Linked DNA regions of Coturnix japonica. The protein of the gene in region 1 purifies or fractionates together with the protein of each later gene. This does not show direct contact. Links are inferred from orthologs where the notes say so. Each region holds a gene or a part of one and is shown in the gene's direction. Other genes may lie near its edges.

Region 1 (3,512 bases):
CAGCCTCGCCACTGTGGCTCCCACACCTCAGGTATTTATAAACCTGGATTAAGTCACCTCTCAGCCTTCTTTTCTCAAGGCTAAACAGACCCAGTTCCCTAAGTCTCTCTCATAGGGGAGATGCTCCAGGCCCTTCACCATCTTTGTGGCCCTCCACTGGACTCTTTCCAAGAGATCCCTGTCTTTTTTGTACTGGGGAGCCTAGTTTTATTGATTCTGTAAATCAATCACTGGCTTGTGTACTCTGTATTATGTTGAAGATGTATCAGCCACAGAAGTTCAGTGTATTTGTATCAGGGTTGTATTTGTGCCGTCTTAAAATGTATTGTGTGGGGTTGTAAATGTCTTGCAGATCATTTAATACTTGAATATGGAAAGAATCCATTTAAAATGCTTCAGTCTATGTGGTGTATACTAAAAGGGTCTTTTTCTGACTCCCCAGTCCATGTGTGCAGTGTTTGTTTTTTTTCTTGGGCTTTGAAGGACCATATGTTACTGTCAGCACAGGATGCAAATAAGTCATTGCTCAATTTAAGATTTAAGAGGGACCTGGCAAATGATTGGTTAATTAAACTGTATACAAAATGTTCCATTAGAACTTGGCTTTTGGAAATGTGAATTTTACATCTAAGATGCATTATGTACTAGTAGCATTTCATGAGCAAAATGCAGAGAAACTGGACTGAAGACACATGGAGCAAGGCACAGCAGATAGGAAGGTGATTCTTGATCTAGGTCTTCAAAAGGGCAAGAAGATAATTTCCTTCTATTTTTATTTTAGCTGGTATTGTGGTATTGCAGCTCGGGCTAAAGCTACTGTGGCAGTCAAAATAATACCGAGTTAGAAGCCATATTGTCACAGGCTTTAGGAAAGGGAAGAAACTGCATCTTTGGTCTTGTTTTCTACAGCATCCACGGCTCTTGTAGAAGGCAAACTCAGCAAGAACTTGAAGAAAATTCTCAAGAAGATAGTGGCAAAAGATGCCCACGAACAGTTGGCTGTAGCAGATGCTAAACTTGGTGGTGTCATAAAGGTGATAATTGACTTTGCTGTTTTTCTTTTTGTCTTTGTCTTTCTGTTTCATGCTACTGAGATCTTGTAGACGGGTTTTGGAAAGATAAAAATGATTAGCAATGTAACCTGCTGCCCCCGTGATGTTTGTGGTGTGTAGAGAATCACTGTTCCTTATGATCAAATGTCTCCAGCTCTTGCCTACCAGAGGAAGGGAGAAGTACTGTAGAGGTGGTCTACTTTCTCTGACATCTCCAAGCTGTCCAATCCTAGGCTCACACTTATGTCTGATTGCTGCCTGTTCCAGAGAGTTTTATTCTGACCATGTTCTCATCCTGTGTTAGGAGATTGTAGTGGGGTGCAAACGGAGAAGAGTCCAGTGTTGAAGTGAATACCACAAAGGACTCTGACTTAATTATTTAAACAGAGGCTGAATTATACATCTCTTCAAACTGGGATTGTTAGTGTAGTTAAATGAAGTTGTCGTTACCTTAAGCATGAAAAAAGACTTGAACCTGTTGAATGACCACAGAATTGCCTTAGGAAAGCCAGGTGTAATGAGATAAAGCTCTGGAAGAAGGGATTTAGAGAAATATTGTCATGTCTGACTTAGGCTCAATGACTTCCATCTTACAGGATAAGCTGAATTTGAGTTGTATACACAGCCCGATGGTTACAGAGCTGATGAGAGGGATTCGTTCACAGATTGAAGGGCTTATTACAGGCCTCCCTTCCAGAGAGATGGCAGCTATGTGTCTGGGTCTGGCACACAGGTGAGTTCCTAGCACAGCTCTGTTTCATCCTGTCACTGCTCTACTCCTGTGTCCTTGGCTGCTCTTTGCTGCTTCAGATGTCTCTATGTGGTATGGTTTCATATTCACTTTATAAGTCAACATACATGTGCATCTGAAGCCTTGTTTCACAGGGATTTTCCAGTTTGCAACCACCTTCTTGGGAAAAGGCTTCAGCCTCATCCCAAAGTTGATAGCTTCCTTTCCCTTCACTACAGAGCTTGGTATGAAATGTCTCTGTAGTAGTTGAATGGTTAGTTTAAAACTCCATTGCCATTTAGAGATGGGAGGATTATGATTTCTTGATTTACACTGGCATATGTGCATGTGTAATGTGTATAATGTAAATATTAAAGGCAGAGATGTATTTCCCTTCTCACCATCGTGCCTTGCTAGGCTTGGTGGAGTAGTAAAGGAGAAAAGAATTGCTGGATCAGCACAGGGTCAGGCATGCCCTCATGAGCAACTTTTAATCCCTTTTTTGATATGAACTTGTTCTGTAGCCATTGGCAAGTTAGAGAACTGCTTTGTTGTAGCTAATACTTTGAAGATGCATTTGTTGCTGCTAATGATGTCTAGAATGTAGACATTCATATATTAAAAAAACAATAATTGGAACATTTAAGCCCTTGTGGATATCATGTGTTTTACTGTAGAAATTTTAATCATATGTCAAAAGCCAGGTGTTTCTTCTATTACTTCTTGCTACCATTGCTGATATTTGCTGCAGTGTAGGTTGTGTTTTGTGGATCACTTTCAACTGCTGCAGAACTGAAAGTGCTATTGACAAATAATTTTTGTGGGAAGCATTGCAGAAGGAAACCAGAAACTTATTTCCTGCCACAGTGTTTGTGCTCAGTCTGATGCTTGTGGTACAGTTGGCCTTAGCTTTCACTTTTTTCATAGCATATGCATGTGTATGTCACAGTTGCTCAGAAAGGTCGTGTGGTCAGGGTTTCCTCAGTGGTCACAGGTGGGAGTGGTCAGCACTATAAAGTTGAGCTGGTATGAATGAATGTATGGACAGCCACGTTCCTGTAAAACAGGGATGGGTGGGATGTACTCTGCAGTGGGAGGTCAGTGTGCTAATGAAATTATTTCTGTATCCACAGCCTTTCTCGATACAAGTTGAAATTCAGCCCAGACAAAGTAGATACCATGATCGTCCAGGCAATTTGTAAGTATATTTAGAGCCTAAATTATTCATGGTTCAATTTATTTGCCTTCTTCATGCTGGTTGCAGGGAAGTATTGGTGTAATTTTTTTTTCCCTTAGAATGTTACAGTAAATTATATTGTGTTCAGCTAGGCATAAGGTTTGTAATCTCAATAGGATTTACCACAAACACTAACACTGTTAGGGTGGTACGGTAAGCCGATATCTGTTTTCTTAGCATAGAGATGAGCTGAAATACAGGCAGTGTAAGTTCAGTCCTCTGAGGACTTCACTACCCAACGTGCCTCACCTCAGTTATTTTGGGAGAGTGTCTGGGCCCCACAGAACAGGGCTTTCTGAATCTCCATTTTTGTGCTAGGTCACATATAGTACAATGTGGAGATGCTCTTACCTTAGAGGTGTAGAAACCACTGCGGTTTTTAATGCTGCTTTCCGTGCCCATGCTTTCTTAATGAAAAACAGACTGCAACTGTAAACACAGACAGGGACACCCATTCCTCATTCGTCTTTGAAGACGTCTGCATCATAATCAG
Region 2 (3,988 bases), on another chromosome or scaffold:
AGGGGATATTTGTTAAACATCTCTCAGAATCATAGAACCATAGAATGGCCTGGGTTGAAGAGGACCACAATGATCACCCAGTTTCAACCCCCTGCTATGTGCAGGGTTGCCAATAACCAGACCAGGCTGCCCAGAGCCACATCCAGCCTGGCCTTGAAATGCCTTCAGGGATGGGACATCCACAGCCTCCTTGGGCAACCTGTTCCAGTGCGTCACCACCCTCTGTGTGAAAAACTTCCTTTTAATATCTAACCTAAACCTCCCCTGTCTCAGTTTAAAGCCATCACCCAGACTTATACAGGATCCATCCTCACACTGCAGCTCTGCTTCTCCCTTCTGGTCACAGAATCACAGAATGACCCGGGTTGGAAGGGACCTCAAGGATCATGTAGTTCCAACCCCCCTGCCTGGCAGGGCCACCAAACATACACATTTACTAGATCCAGGTTGCCCCAGGGCCCCGTTCCAACCTGGTCTTGAAACCCTCCAGGACGGGGCATCCACAACTCCCTGGGCAGCTGTTCCAGGGCTAACCACTCTCCTAGTGAAGAACTTCCCCCTAACATCCAACCTAAATCTGCCCTCTTTTAACTTAAACATTTCCCCGTGTCCTGCTATTGTCAGCCCTTTTGAAGAGTTTACTCCCCTCCTGGGTGTAGGTTCCCTTCAGGTATTGAAAGGCTGCAATGAGGTCACCCCGCAGCTTTCTCTTCTCTAGGCTGAACAAGCCCAACTCCCTCAGCCTGTCCTCATAGTGGCGGTGCTCCAGCCCCCTGATCATCTTTGTGGCCCTCCTCTGGACCCTTAACAAAATCTCCATGTCTTTCTTGTAATGAGGGCTCCACACCTGGACACAGTACTCCAGATGGGGAAAGCACTGTGGCAGTACAGCACTGCCACACCTCAGCACTGTCACACCTCAGCCCGTTCCCACTCATCCCGTTCCCGCCCCCTCCCCTCAGCGCTGAGCTCACCCTGCCCCAGCTCCTCATCCGGGTCCTGTTCCGCGCAGCGCGGGAAGCCGGGCGGCAGCGCGGGGCCGATCATTTCGCGCGCCATGTTGGGGGGCGGGGCCGAGCCGGTGACGTCAGAGCTGCGCCGGCTTAACCCCGGAAGAAGGAGACGGGAAGCGGAAGTGACGCATTTAGTGGCGGCCGGGCTGTAGGAGCGGCTGGTCACGCGGCGGGCATGCAGCCGGGCGGCGAGTTGGGCTCCGCCGTCAGCCCGTTCGGATGGTTCCCACCGCTTCGCCCGCCGCTCTTTTGCCCTCCGCCCCCTTGGGAACATGGCTTATGGCCGCCGCCCGACGGCTACGCCCCGCCGCCGGCATGGTACCCGCCGGCCTACCAGGAGCCCACGAGGCGGCCGCAGGGTAGTGAGTGGGGGGGGTCCCGTCACCTTGTTTCCTTTTCCCTTCTATTTAGTACTTATTACTATTATTTTCTCTGATCCTCCGACCTCGATTTGAGTCTGCAGGGTCCCTCTCCCCCCCCCCACATCTGGTCCCACATGCTTGTGAGACTCATTGGCTGCAGCAATTGAAACCGACTGTTGTGTTGTGTGGGTTTTTCGTTTGTTCTTTAAGGTGGAAATGGCCATTTTCAGCAGGAATGGCAAGGAGAGCAAGCACCTGGCTTCCATAAGCGTTCTCCTGGTGGAAACAACAAGCAGAAGGTACAGATGGGCTGTATGCCCTTTGGAGTTTCCTTTCTGTTATAACTGTTCTGTGATGCTGGGATGGAGGTGGCCATGTGGGGCTTGTGTCCCTGTTTTGGATGTGCATCACGAAGATGATCAGGGGGCTGGAGCACCTCCCCTATGAGGACAGGCTGAGGGAGTTGGGCTTGTTCAGCCTGGAGAAGAGAAGGTTGCGGGGTGACCTCATTGCAGCCTTTCAATACCTGAAGGGAACTTACTCCCAGGAGGGGAGTAAACTCTTCAAAGGGCTGACAGTAGCAGGACACGGGGAAATGGTTTTAAGTTGAAAGAGGGAAGATTTAGGTTGGATGTTAGGGGGAAGTTCTTCACTAGGAGAGTGGTTAGGCCCTGGAACAGGCTGCCCAGGGAGGTTGTGGATGCCCCGTCCTTGGAGGTGTTCAAGACCAGGTTGGACGGGGCCCTGGGCAACCTGATCTAGTAAATGTGTATGTTTGGTGGCCCTGCCAGGCAGGGGGGTTGGAACTACATGATCCTTGAGGTCCCTTCCAACCCGGCTCATTCTGTGATTCTGTGCATGACAAGCAAAATAAGTGTGGTTCCCTTGCATGACTGAGGAAGTGATTCTTCCTCCTGGACTGTCCTCGTGAGGCTTCACCTGCAGTATTTTATCCGGGATATGAATTTGGAGTCAGTCTAGAACAGGCCACAGGGATGAGGGCTGGAGTGTTTCTCCTGTAGAGTAAGGAAGGGAGAGTGGGGTATGCTCTTGGATGTCAGGGGGAAGCTCTTTACAGTGGGAGTGGTGAGGTGCTGGAACAGGCTGTCCAGAGAGGTTGTGTGTGCTCTGTCACTGGAGGTGCCGGAGACCAGGTTGGGTGGAGCCCTGTTCTAGTGCTAGATCTGGAGATTGGTGGCCCTGCCTATGGCAGGGGAGTTGGAACTTGATCCATGGGGTCCCTTCCAACCCAAAGAGTTCTATGGTAAGTGGAGGCTCTGGAGAAGCCTCATTGTGGCCTTCCAGTACTTAAAAGGGGCATATAGGGAAGTTAGGGAGGGGATATTCATATTCATCAGATAGCGTGAGAGAGCAAGAGGTAGCAGTTTCAATCTCATCTATATCTACGTTGTTAACTATAAGGAAGAAATAATCTGCTTCGGGCAGTGAGGCACTGGCACAGCTGTCCAGAGAAGCTGTGGGTGCCCCATCCCTACAGGCATGTAAGACCACATTGGATGGGGCCCTGGGCAGCCTCAGCTGCTGTGTGGCAGCCCTGCACATGGCAGGAGGCTGGAAACTGGTTGGGCTTTAAGTTTCCTTCCAACTGAGGCCTCAAACCCTGAGCTCAATGAAGGGATCAAATCCTAAAATGCATAATCTCAATAAAAGCCTTTATTTTGATGGTGCCCAGATGCATAAAACACTTCAGTGGTTCATTATGTTTTCAGACCCTGACAACCTCATCACTTTGCTGTGATGGTGGGAGGGGGAAAGGTCCCTACTGCCCCTTGAGCTCCTACCTGGGATATTAGAACAGGCGTAGACTTGACTCTATGGGGAGGAGATGTGTGGAGCTGTAGCCCTGGCTCTTCTCCAAGCTGCTGCTAAGCCTGTGTCTGCAGAAGTGATTATAGAAGGGTAGTAGCAGGAAGAACTGAGTGTACTGCATTTTGTTTAAAAAATAAATGATATGAATTGTTAATGTATAGCTTTGTTAATATAGATCATTTTGAATGTTTTATTGGAATTATTACTGAAATATTTCCGATTTTATTAAATCTTATCTAATTAAACAGGGAGCACCTTGTAACCTTTTAACTTCTATGCTGGATTTTTATTTTTTTTTTCCTTCCTCTTAGAACAAAAAAAAGAAGGAGCCAGTTTTCTCTCACTATTGCGATACCTGTGACCGAGGCTATAAAAACCAGGAGAAGTACGATGAACATATTTCACAGCATATACAGGTTGAACTTTACTTGCGTTATTTTTATTTCAATCTCTAGTTTCATATATGAACTGTAGAGCTCACATATGCCAGTTCACGGAGTGCTGTAGGCACTCTTATGATGATAGACCTAGCAACAGATTCCTGAGCTGCTAGGAGATTTTTTTATACACTGTGTCTAGGGAAGCTTTCAGTTGTGTTTTTGGCTTTATTGCTCAAGTCATTTTAATGTTCTTCTGAATCATTGTTAATTCACTCCAGCATTATGAGCAACTTCACTGACATTAGCGTAGCACATGAAATATGTGTGAAAATGCTTTATGTGGTAGAGATTTTATGATGCATTCCCTTACTGCAAAGAAGTAACACAATTTGAAGTTGGAAAG
Region 3 (4,110 bases), on another chromosome or scaffold:
CTTGAATTATTCAGTGTTGTGGCAAGGGAAGGGGCTTGTAAGTCACCTCGCGCAAAGCACGTATCTGTGATGTGCAAATGAGGCTGTGGACTTCAAGAAACCCAGTATAATTGCTCTTTGAAAGCATTTGCATTCATAACCTCCACCTTTTTCTTCCTGCCTGACTGTTCCCTCATTTACACCATTATTTCTCTTCTGACAGGATTTTAGAGATTTCAAAGACCTTACCCACAGCGCTGCTGTGCAGAGACAGTGAGAGATTACTGAGATCGGAAGGACCACTATTGGAAAGGCACTTTCTAACATCTCTTTGCTCTGCTAGGAGGCTGACCCACCAGGAAGAAACAGGTGTCACAGTCCTATGGCTAGAAGGATTTCAGCTAATATAAAGTGACAGTGGGAGAAAGAAATACCGTACTATTTGATAGTAAATCCTGTAGCGCCCTTTTTAAGTTCACACTTCCATTTCTGTGTGGATCTTAGTATAGATGAGAAAGCACTGAGGCATGAGACCAGAACAGAGGGTGTTCTGGGAAGAGCCATAAGCCAGAGCGCTCAGTTCTCCATGAAGGTTAAAGATCTGTGAAGATGCTCAGGAAAGCTGTGGGAGCTTTATTAACATGCCAGTTCTGCTCCTTGGGGGAGAGGGAAATTAATTACCCTATTCTAGTTGGAATGAGAGGCCCTTTTCTGTGGGGAATAGCAAGATGTAATGGAGAACATTGGCAGGAGCATGGAATTGGGTATTCCAGTGGTCTACTGCCATTTTGTTGGGGGAGCTGAATGTGGAGAAGCCTGGGTCAGGGAAATCCCAGATTCTTCGAGGTCCCTTCCAACCCAACCCTACAAAAAGGGAATTCCTTGGTGCTGTTAGGCCGTGTGGGAGCTCTTACCGAAGAGCGTTCCTATCAGACAGAGGCAGCCCCTCTCGTCTGGAGCCAGCAGCTGGACGACCGGCAGCGCCTGCCAGGCCAGGGCATCGCGCAGCCGGGACAGCGCGTGTTTCTTCCGCACCAGCTGCGGGTGGGAGACAACCGTCAGCATCCAGGCCTGCCCGAACGGCACTAAAAGCGTTACCCCGCGTTCCGTGCCCCTGCCTCAAGGCAGCAGCGGGCTGCGGGGTACCGAGGCCTACAAGGAAGGGGAAGCCGCACCGAGGCGCCGCCATCGCCCAGCGTCTCCACAGCGCAGGCGAGGCACAGCGGCGGTCGGAGCGGCAGGTTCCACCTCGCACCGTGCCGATCACGCACGCTCTCGCAGCCCGCCGCCATCGCCTCACGGCCGCTAGGGCGCGCCATGGGCAGGCTCCCGGCGAGGCACGGCCCGCCTCTTCCCTCCGCCGTTCCCTCAGTTCCGGCGGCGTGCGGCCCGCTGCGCGCACGAGCGTTGGGCCCCGAGTGTCCGAGAGCTGCACCGCGCCGCCGCCATGGTGAGCGGGGTCGGGGGGGAGGCGGGATGCGCCGGGCAGGGTCCGCTCCCCTGCACACCGAGGCGGCGGGCGGGCAGCGGGGAGCACGTGGGGGCCGCGCTGCGTGGGGCTGTGCCGAAGGGCGTCCGTGGGTGGGTTGTGGGCTGGTACACGTGATACACGCATTCATAGGTGCATGAGGGGAGGTTGTGGCGAGGTGGGGGCAGCCTCTTCTCCCCGGTAGGAGCTGTAGGATGAGAGGTGATGGCCTCAAGTTGCGCCAAGGGACGTTCAGGTTGGATATCAGGAAGCGTTTCTCAGTAGGAGCGGTGCTGCGGTGGCACGGGCTGCACAAGGAGGTGGTGCAGTCACCATCCCTGGAGGTGTTCCAGAGCCGTGTGGATGTGGCACTGAGGGATGTGGTCAGTGGGCATGGTGGGGGTGGGCTAAAGGTTGGACTGGGTGATGCTGGTGCTCTTTTTCAACCTTAGTGATTCAGTAATGGACTACACGTGGTAGACATGCTGCCTCTCTAATGCCCCTCGGAACAAACTCTTTTGCCCCTGCTGTACCACTCTCCCATCTTTCCCTTTCTCCGGTTTCTAGAGTGAGGCAGAGGTGAACCCCAAAGCTTACCCACTGGCTGACGCGCAGCTCACCAAGACGCTGCTGGACCTTGTGCAGCAGTCCTGCAACTACAAGCAGCTACGCAAAGGAGCCAATGAAGGTGGGAATACTGTGTGAAGCTGTGGCTGGAGATTGTATTTTCTTCTCCAGCTGTGGCCATGAATATTATATAGCTCGGTCTGGCACGAGTGACCCTTTCCTTCCTCCTCTTAGATGCTCAAAGTGTGTTCCTGGTGCATATACTGTGATCATATATGATGCGGCACTGAGATGACCAGGTGTCTTGCCAGCTTAAAATCATAAGATAACTGGGAGTTGAGGGGAGCTCTGTAGTTCAGACAGCTCAGAGAATGTCCCTTCACAGCGTGACTGAGCTGCTCAAGGCCATATCTGGTTAAGCTTCATCTGAACAAAATAAAAGTCCTTAAGCGTGGAAACTCCACAGTCTCCTATGGCTTAAACTGCTCTTCTGCCAGGATTTTTTTTCTCCTCATATCTCCAGAGTTTCCCCAAGGCAGCAGTCAGAGTCTGCAGTCACAGTCCTTTAAGCTGTGCGTTCATGGGGATAACCTGGCTCCATCCTCGCTGCAGTCTCCTTGGAGTGGCAGAAGGCAGCAGTCACTCTCCTCCATCCCACCTTGGCTGGTTCTTCTCCAGTCTGCACAGATCCAGCTCCCTTGGTCTCTCATCTGCAGAGTGCCCCAGCTGCTCTCCCTGTGCTGGCCTCACTCCTTTGTGAAGGATGCAGTAGCTCAGATGTGACCCTATGAATAATCCCTCCCTGGGACCTGCTATGGGTTTTCCAAGGGTCAACTTCCTTCTTCTCATGGGTGCACTGCTGACCACAAACTGTTCATTCTGGACTTGGAGCTGTGCTATTACATGGCCCTGTAGCTGATGGTTTTCTTTGGCCTGCCCTCTTGCTGCCCCTTCTTGCTCGTGCTGACATCAGCATCTCCTAGTGTTGTTCACAAGATGTGCTTCACAGAACCTAGACTTACTTTCAGTTTCTTTTTGCAGCCACCAAAACACTGAACCGAGGAATAGCAGAGTTCATAGTGATGGCTGCCGATGCTGAACCCTTGGAGATCATCCTGCACCTACCTCTTCTCTGCGAGGACAAGAATGTTCCTTATGTGTTCGTGCGCTCCAAGCAGGCCCTAGGCCGGGCGTGTGGGGTTTCCCGGCCTGTCATCGCCTGCTCCATCACTATCAAGGAGGGATCGCAGCTAAAACCTCAGATCCAGTCTGTACAGCAAGCTATAGAGAGACTGTTGGTCTGAGCGCCCTTGAGCTTGAGTGTGTGTGGAATGGGTAAAGGTGAAGTCAGGGGGAATTAATGTCTAGCTTTAGTTAATGACGTTATAGTTTTGATATCAGTGTTCCATTTCAAAAATCACATCTTTGTTTAATAGCGGCTTAATTCTTCAAGTGTCTCTGCCTCTTCTCCCCTCCCTTTCTCTATTATTCCACTCCAACTCTCATTCTCGTTGTATTACTTCTTGAAAAGTGATTGTACAACTGTATTTACTGTTTGACGTTCAAAGGAAAAAAAAATCCCCTCCAATCTCCATATCTGCCTGCTCAGGGCTTTTGTAATCTACCCATTAGCTTCCTAATGCTTCAGCCTCTTACAGGTGTATCTTTGTTTCAGAATGGTTTATTCTATGGGGGAGTAAGGTGTGTTGGTTCCGCAGCACAGTACGTGTATTTGGGCTGCCAGAGTTGTTGCTTTGAAGCGAAGCAGCATAGACTAAAGTGTAGGACTGTGGCTACTGTGTAGCAAGCAGCTGGTGGAGCCAGGATCAGTACACATAGCACAACCCTGCCTTCAGATCAGGCAAGAGGCTTCTCTAAGAGGGTGTATGGGGAGCTGACATCGTACGGCAGTGCACAAGGGGAAATCTCTAATTTCACTTATTTTTAAATGCTGTTTTTTTAAAAAGAAAATAAAATTACTGACAAATCTAAATACAGGAACGGCCAGAATTGTTATTCTCAGTTTTCTTTGCATGGATTGCAACAGTGATCTGCAAAGCTTGGGCTTCCTAAGACATTTCAATACAAAAGTTATT

The links. The genes of interacting proteins can lie anywhere in the genome.
Region 2: the proteins of NOP58 (region 1) and NUFIP1 purify together in Homo sapiens (co-immunoprecipitation; 3 studies listed by BioGRID and IntAct, with this or other methods). This does not show direct contact. The link is inferred for Coturnix japonica from reciprocal best matches to the Homo sapiens genes NOP58 and NUFIP1.
Region 3: the proteins of NOP58 (region 1) and SNU13 fractionate together in Homo sapiens (co-fractionation; 3 studies listed by BioGRID and IntAct, with this or other methods). This does not show direct contact. The link is inferred for Coturnix japonica from reciprocal best matches to the Homo sapiens genes NOP58 and SNU13.

Annotation. Positions count from the first base shown.
Region 1 is NC_029522.1:10,257,728-10,261,239, forward strand, and holds part of NOP58 (nucleolar protein 58), read left to right. Parts: intron 1-909; coding exon 910-1,034; intron 1,035-1,648; coding exon 1,649-1,785; intron 1,786-2,915; coding exon 2,916-2,980; intron 2,981-3,512. UniProt on the Homo sapiens protein: Required for the biogenesis of box C/D snoRNAs such as U3, U8 and U14 snoRNAs. Part of the small subunit (SSU) processome, first precursor of the small eukaryotic ribosomal subunit.
Region 2 is NC_029516.1:150,056,779-150,060,766, reverse strand, and holds the start of NUFIP1 (nuclear fragile X mental retardation-interacting protein 1), read left to right. Parts: upstream 1-1,181; 5' UTR 1,182-1,188; coding exon 1,189-1,375; intron 1,376-1,585; coding exon 1,586-1,674; intron 1,675-3,516; coding exon 3,517-3,621; intron 3,622-3,988. Other genes in the region: GPALPP1 (GPALPP motifs-containing protein 1), read right to left, coding at 975-1,059. UniProt on the Homo sapiens protein: Binds RNA.
Region 3 is NC_029516.1:45,199,850-45,203,959, forward strand, and holds SNU13 (NHP2-like protein 1), read left to right. Parts: upstream 1-1,303; 5' UTR 1,304-1,426; coding exon 1,427-1,429; intron 1,430-2,014; coding exon 2,015-2,135; intron 2,136-3,055; coding exon 3,056-3,318; 3' UTR 3,319-4,007; downstream 4,008-4,110. Other genes in the region: MEI1 (meiosis inhibitor protein 1), read right to left, coding at 894-1,017, 1,155-1,298.